Struthio camelus: one gene and its partner. The protein of the gene in region 1 purifies or fractionates together with the protein of each later gene. This does not show direct contact. Links are inferred from orthologs where the notes say so. Each region holds a gene or a part of one and is shown on either strand. Other genes may lie near its edges.

Region 1 (3,746 bases):
GGGAGCTGCAGAGGGGTCCTAATGTATTATTGGTACTTAGGTCATACCAGGCTGAATTCACACAACTTAATAGCTGCTTCAGCAGCTATTTTTCCGCTTACTTGAGATTTCGCAGAAGTGGATAGACATCAACTAACATTAACTATAGCTTAACTTAGGGTTGCATATAACCCTAAGTTAACCCTTTACAGCACTCATGCTATAAAGATAAATACCACATAGGATATTTCAGTCCCTAAAACTTCGTCATGAACCTTTCAGCAGTAGAACTCTGACAACTAAAATGTCAGCACTCACATATACCTAAATCCTTTGACCAATCTACCATGCCTCCCTCTCACACCAACATGCCCAGTGCATTGAGAAAGACAGGTCTACGACTACCAGGAAACCTATGAGGAGTTTATCAGAGCGCTTCTCATTTTATAGAAACGAGAGGGGGGAGAATAAAGACTCTTGAGTTATATTTTCCTAAAGCTATAGGGCAAAGTTATCTGGGACTCACACACCTGATATATGAGGCAACCTCTATTCTACCCCCACAGACATTTTTAGTCTACGCCCAATGATAGTGCTACATCTAAATGAATGCAAAGGGTATAGTTTTTAATATGAGACAATTCTAATAGCAGAAAGTAATGACAGATTAATGTGCTGACTTTCACAGACATAATCAAATCCATATATTTTCTACTTTATTAAGATTACTACTGATCAAAATATGTTTAGTACAAGGATTTTAGAACCTATTAAGCAAATCAATATTTATTACTCCAAGATCTTGCACATTTTTGAGTATAAAATACACAATTTATACTCAAAATTACTTTATATATATATACACACATACAGACTCACTCTCAACATAAAATATTGACAGTAGATGCTATGTGAACTTCTGTATTAGAGTTTCAGTCAATCAGAAGAGCATTTCTAAAGCACGTTTCCCCCAAACATCCTACTTACTATAATTCTATTCACTTCACAGGATGGTCTTGGACTAGAACAAAACAGGTTCTCTGTGGATAAAAAGAAACTGGAAAACGTACTCCAGAAGTACATCTAAGGAAGTACAAATACTAAGTGATCCATTAGAGCTAACCTGAAGTAAAGCCTTCCAAAAGCACATACAACGCGGATAGTCTGTTTTCAGCAACAACAGTTTCTCTCTGTAAATCTACTATTTTTGGGGTCTTACTATGTGCTATTACACACACAGCTTCACTCACATATGTAAGGGAGTACAAGAGGAACTATGCTGATTGAATCACCTTTAAAGTTAAGCTCATAAGCCATAAAACAAAATTTGGATTATCTAAGCAGCTTTAATTTGGACTCACTATGCTTGGTTGGGTGATTCTCATTTGTTTTCTCTTCAGTATGGTGTAATATTCTGCGATAAAAGACTATATTACTAGAGCATTCATTGTGCTGTGTAACCTTAATTTACAGTGTTTCTTCCTGCTGTATTACAAATACTCCACTACTACAATCAAACATTTTCCATGCACCTATCTGATGTGCCTCAAATTAAGACCTCTTGCAAGAATTACTATAGGATCGTATACATATTATATGTATATAGTTATCTTTGATTGCTGCAATGTTTACCTTCCTTTTTTTTTTTTTAACTATATATTCAACACGTGTTTCTGAGGTCCCGGTTGTGCATGTATTTAGGATTACTGTGGTATTAACATACTAAAAATGGAGAATGTAAACAGAATGTGATGTAAATGCATCATCACCTGCTTTTCTAATTACTTCATTTTCAACATTTCCAAAGCATGCCAAGGATTTCACAGTACAGAACAAGACAGACAGGATTTATATCTCTTTGTTTATAGTCTAAAATAAATCTTTCCCAGCCTTCCAAACACATATGATGCGTGTTTCACCTAAGCAAAACACAGTCACCGCTGGGATTTCCAGCGCTGTAGAGTTGCCCCTTTCACACAAGGCTGGCGAGCGCAGACTGGGAGAGTCACGCCTGTGTTACCGGAGCGCACGGGCACTTGGGCACCCACTGAAACCCGCAGGAGACGCTGAATAACGACTAAAAGCTCGTGCCCAAAGCACAGAGGCATCTGGCGCAGCGCCAAGTCGGACTTCGGGGGGGGGGGGGGTGTAAAATACCCGAAGACATGACACTAGGGAGCGGGGAAGGGGGGAGGGGCAAGGCCGCCGCCCGGTGCCCGACGCAGGCAGGACGCCGCCGCCGCCGCTCGGCTCCCCCCCCGCCCTGCTCCGGCCTGACGTCCTCCCCACCGCGGGACCCAGCCTCCGACAGCGGCCGCCCGCCTGCCCCGCCGCGGGACCGGCCACTACTCCGACCGCCGGAGGAGGGTGGGGGGGGGGGGGGAAGAGGGACACATGAATAACACCGCCCCTGTAAACATGCCGCAGCCTCCTCCGCTTCCCCCCCCTCCTCCGTCGGAATGGTGCTTCCCTCGCGCCCCCCCCCCCTTCAGCCCAACGGCCGGTCCCAACGGACACCGAGCGGCCGCGCGCGCGCCTTCTCTCCCCCCCGCCCCGCGCCTCTCACCTCAGCACCTTCCGCCGCGCCGCCACCCCTCCGCGCGGACACCGTCACCCGCGGGCCGGCCGGTGGCCGGACGGCAGCCGCCTTCACCGCCTTCCTCCTCCTCCCGCTCCCCCTGACTCGGCTGTTCCTGCCACAGAGGCTGCGGCCCGACTGCGGCGAGAGCAGTCAGGTGACTCCCAACAACATTACTCGCCTTGCCGCCCCGTTCCTCCCCCCCACCCTTCCCCCCGCCTTCCCCTTCCACACCCCGCCCGCTGATTGGACGCGGCGCTCCCCACCGACGCGCAGCCGCCCACAGCGCCGCGCCCCGCGCCTGCGCGCTGCCACCGGCGGCTTGGCGGCGGCCCGCGCCCCGGGGCAGCGCCGGGCCCTGCCGCCGCCCCTTCCCTCCCCTCCCCCCCGCTCCCTCCTGAGGGCGGCCGTTAGCGGCCGTTGGGGGAGTCGGAGAGGGGGGGCGCTGGGCGCGGTGCCCCCACCGGCGGGCAGTGGCGGTCGCCTCGTGTGCCGCCTCTCACGGGGAGAGCCCGGGTGCTTGTGTTTCGCAGGTGGAAAACTCTTACTTGTTTTAGGCGTGCGGCTGGAGGTCTGTGTTGGGAAATGCTACCGCTTAGGAGTCTTGGTTGGCAATGCGATTTTTAACGTTTCTACGCTAGGGAATGTCAGTCAAGCGTTTGGCAGAGATAGCGGCCTGAGGGTGTTTTTGCTGGTATAATTTGTTTACTTGCTGAGCTTGGCTAAAACACTTTCTGATAGTGGGAGCTGTGCTGATACGAGGACGAGTTGCTGGAAGTGTCCCACTGAGAGACCTTTCCTAGTTTAGGCCTGATTTTTCAACCAGCTATCGTGGTCTGTGCTGTGCTATGTAGGAGGAGATAAGATGTCAAGTAAGGCAGAAAACATCGTGGAGCAAGTTGACGTGAAGAGATAGCCTTCAGTTAGCAACGGACAAACTAATGCTAGAAACGAAAACAGTGTGATATTACCGTTGAGCTAGTAGGCCTTTTGAAAAGCAGACTAGGATGCTGGGTGCTGTGTGAACATAGCTTCCTCCTGGAAAACATACTGTTTTCCAGTCTTGCCTAGTATTTTTGTGCGATGCCAGGTACATGTACCAATTCAGCGTAAGCTCTTTTAGGGATATCTTAGAAAGCAGTGTATATTACCCTGATCAGGACTGAAGAATTTGCTGGACTTTGCTAAA
Region 2 (3,746 bases), on another chromosome or scaffold:
AAACTTCCTTGCTCCAGTTCATCTCAATTCTGAGAGCGAAAGTAACGTACTCTCAGGCCTGGGAGCATTGGTTTCAGGATGCTGCCAATACTTGTTATAGTCAAAAGTCTCTTGGGTAACAACTGGGATACTCTAGCCTTGATGCAATCCCATACTCGCCAGACTTCTTTCTAGATATCACCAGTATTTCTCTATCCTATCTTCTCAAGAACTTTCCTGTAGATAGTGAGAAATTATATTGGCACCCATTTGCAAGAGTCTCTCCAAAGGGGGGGGGGGGGGGGGGGGAACACATGTGACAGTCTTCACATGGAATATGGTTCCTTGACACCTTCCCCTGCCACCCAGCATCACCCACTCAGCCTTTCTCCCTACCTTTAATGCCTTGTTCGGTTTGGGATTAGTCGTCATAACCTGAGCACAGTCTTCTGGACAGAACTGCTCAGAAATTGCAACTGAAAAACAAAACAAGATTTTCAGGTTATCATAATCTCAGAGATAACAGTAGGAAAACGATACCAACACACACTCCAAATCCCCAACTCTAAAGCATCATTGAAAGAAACATCACACAACTGTTTAAAATCCTGGGAAGGATTCAGAGATTAGTTTACCCCCTTCAGAAAGAAGGGGAAACGTGCATTGACAAGTGCCCTGCTTTTTAATGCTAAATATCTAATATTTTGTTTTTAAGTACACCAAGATCAAGCAAGGAAGATGGGACTGGGAGGGCAAAAAGGGTACTTGCTCCTGCCTGTAAACAACAGTTATGCTAATAACTGCATACTACCTTGCAACATGCCACCTCTTCTGAGGGGGAGAGCAGAGTTCAGCCTCCCAGGCCCAATCAGTTGTTCATCTCCTTCTGGAGGAATCCCAGACACACAGAATGGTCTATTAGGGACTGAATTAAGACTTACCTCTGCTCATAAAGGGCATTGAAAAGCCACAAGACAACAACTCCCTTCATTCTTATTTTGATTATTATTAACCTAGCCTCAAATTGAATCAGCAGCCCAGAAATAAGCTGCCTAGTTTGTAACCTGCTTTCACAGCCATCCCCACCCAAAAGAGACGCTACTAGAAAACCCGAACAGCAGAAACGAAAGCCCCCAGATAACAAAGCAAGGCAGGTGTTTGCCTCTCCCAGCACACCAAGGCTGTTGCTTCATGATCCTCTCAGCCCACAGGCTGCTAGAGCTAGCCTGCCTGATATTTCTTGTGACGTGGAGGCATGTCCACCGACAGACAGACCGTCCTCTGTCGAGACGCTGCCCTTCACTCTCACCTTAGCTGGCAACTACACCCCTTCGACCAGCGCTTTGGAGAAAATCTACCTGCCTAGACCTCCATCCGAAATCTTCACCCCACCGAAGTGCCAAGGATGAGCCTGGCAGCGCTGCTGTCTGTCAGGTACCTACCACGAGAGAGACGACTGCAGCTGTGACTCCATCACAGCCTCTGCTTATCGCTCCCCCAGCATCTCGGCTACCCCTGCAGGGAGGGCGCGAGGCACTGGCTCCCACACCACGCCGGTGCCCCCTACGCACAGCCGTGGCGGCTTCAAGGGCTGCACACCCAGTGGCACTGCAGAGCGCACAGCCTGTCTGGCGGGAGTCCTCTCCCCCCACCCCACCCCACACCCTCCCCATTCCCACGTCTGCATCGTGTCACACATTCTAATCATTCATGAAAAATCCAGCCAAAGCATCCCAAGCATGATTCCCTTCTGATAGTTGCCATGGTGACCTTGGGAAAGTAGCCAACCCTGAGACAGTCACCATGGAAACAGAGAAGCCCAAAAGCAATAATGACTTCAGGTCATGTCTGTGCAAAGACATCACGAGGTCGTCAGAGAGTAAACAAACTCATTCATATCTGCAAACAAGGGGTGGAGGGACTTGGGGGGTGGGGGGGGGGGGGACAAAGGTGGGGTGTGGGAACAACAGAGAGCCATGCGGGTAAAGGTGCTGGCTCAGCTTGCGTTGCTCTCGCTTGAATTTTATCAGTCAAGACACCTCATTGTCATATGACTTGCAGAAAAATCAGGATAAAGAGGGGGAAAAAAAAAACAAATCCCATAAATGCGAAGCTACAAGATACTATCCTAGATATTAGGGTGTGTATTTAGGCACCTCCTCTATTTTTAAGCCTGAGACAGCACAGCTTTCCATGCCTGCTGGAGGAGGGACAAGGACAGCCGCACAGCACACCAGCCAAGATGCTTTGTGATGAATGGACCACTTACAGCAACTGGTGTGCGCTGCATTTTCTAGAGCATCACACAGAGTCCTTCCCATCCCTCCTCCAGTATCAAACCCCACCCTGGGCCCACTTCCAGGAGCCCTTGCCTCCACCACGGCAGCAGGAGCAGGCTTGGCAGAGGGAAGGAGAGCACCCAGCGCAAAACCCAGTCCCTCGCTGTTAGCACAGCCCCCACCTGCCCACGAAAGCATCCTCAGTTACCGAAGGGAGAGGCCACCTCTGACCTCTGGCTGCTGCAAAACTGCGTATCTCGCACTGGAGTCGATGGCAGACAGAAACGCTCTCCCATGAGAGCGCACGCAGACGGGCGCCTTTTCAGATCTCAGCGCTGCCCTTTCACCGTCCTCCTCTCCATTGCTTCCCCTTCACACTTGGTATTCACCGCCCGCCCCTACCTCCAAGCCAGAAGCACACACAAACGCACGCACTAGCACAAAGGAGGAAGGAAAAGCTCGTTGTCTTGGCCAAACGGTCCCAGCAAGCTAAGGAGAGCAGAGCGCTGCCAGTGCGTAAAGGAAACGGCCTGCAGCCCCCTCCCTACACACGCACAGCGCCGCGGGCCTTGCAGGCAGTTGGTGCCATAGTTATGCAGTGAGTCACCAGCTGTTTACAGAGTTTGAGAGCTCACATTCCCACAGCATCAGAAACTCTTCCTTCCCCCGGCATCCCCCCTCCCTCGCCACCCCCATCCCTACAAGGAAAGGGGCACACTACAGTCCCACTGGCGGCACTTCGCGCAGTTAAACCGGAAAAGGAAAGTCAAAAAGGAGGGGGAGGCCGAGGACAGACCGGTCACACCCACTGATTACACAAAAAGCCTTTTGATCCTCACCCAATGTGTCTTCAAAGCACTTTCTACACCAGCCGATGGAAAAACTGAACAGACCGCTTGGCTGCACAGAGATGGAAAGAAACGTAAAATATTGTGGAAAACAAGTGCCGAGGGTTGAGATTCCCTCCGGTGGGGGTCACTGTCTGGGCTCGCCTGCCACCCAAAGCAACGCCGCTGCCGCCGCGTTAATAAGCTGCTCCGACTCCACGTGATGAATCCACTTCTGGTCACCTGTTGCTCTGTGTCGCCAAAGCAACATCTCCTTACACTGCACATTCCTCCGCGGACAACACAGACTCCTTCACATTTGGTACGAGTGCACGGTTGGTACCCGAATTAACAGGGGTCTTGTGCTTTACGTATTGCTTTCCTTGCATATCGAAGCGCTCTAAACAGACTGGCTTCCCTCTAAAACGGGTTGGGATCAATCCTATTGCATTGGGGCGAGATGCCAGAGCCCTTCCTGGCACAGACACGAGGAAGGAATTTAAGCCACCACCAGTAATTACGATGTCTGGCCATCTTCACATGCGAGCGGGATGGGGGTCACCCCCACTCTTAGGGGCAGAATTTGGTAGTGCAAGCAGGAATGCTTCAAATGGGCTTAAGTTCCTCACTCAAACGTGAATGCCAGGGTGAGGCTTACCTC

What was found. The genes of interacting proteins can lie anywhere in the genome.
Region 2: the proteins of BACH1 (region 1) and MAFK purify together in Homo sapiens (affinity purification with mass spectrometry; 6 studies listed by BioGRID and IntAct, counting the BioPlex papers as one, with this or other methods). This does not show direct contact. The link is inferred for Struthio camelus from reciprocal best matches to the Homo sapiens genes BACH1 and MAFK.

What each region holds. Positions count from the first base shown.
Region 1 is NC_090942.1:118,936,345-118,940,090, reverse strand, and holds the start of BACH1 (transcription regulator protein BACH1), read right to left. Parts: upstream 2,784-3,746; 5' UTR 2,546-2,783; intron 1,020-2,545; exon of another isoform or gene 967-1,019; intron 1-966. UniProt on the Homo sapiens protein: Transcriptional regulator that acts as a repressor or activator, depending on the context. Binds to NF-E2 DNA binding sites. Plays important roles in coordinating transcription activation and repression by MAFK.
Region 2 is NC_090956.1:6,858,030-6,861,775, forward strand, and holds the start of MAFK (transcription factor MafK), read right to left. Parts: upstream 2,915-3,746; 5' UTR 2,555-2,914; coding exon 2,467-2,554; exon of another isoform or gene 2,457-2,466; coding exon of another isoform or gene 2,441-2,456; intron 1,660-2,440; exon of another isoform or gene 1,422-1,659; intron 456-1,421; coding exon 376-455; intron 1-375. UniProt on the Homo sapiens protein: Since they lack a putative transactivation domain, the small Mafs behave as transcriptional repressors when they dimerize among themselves.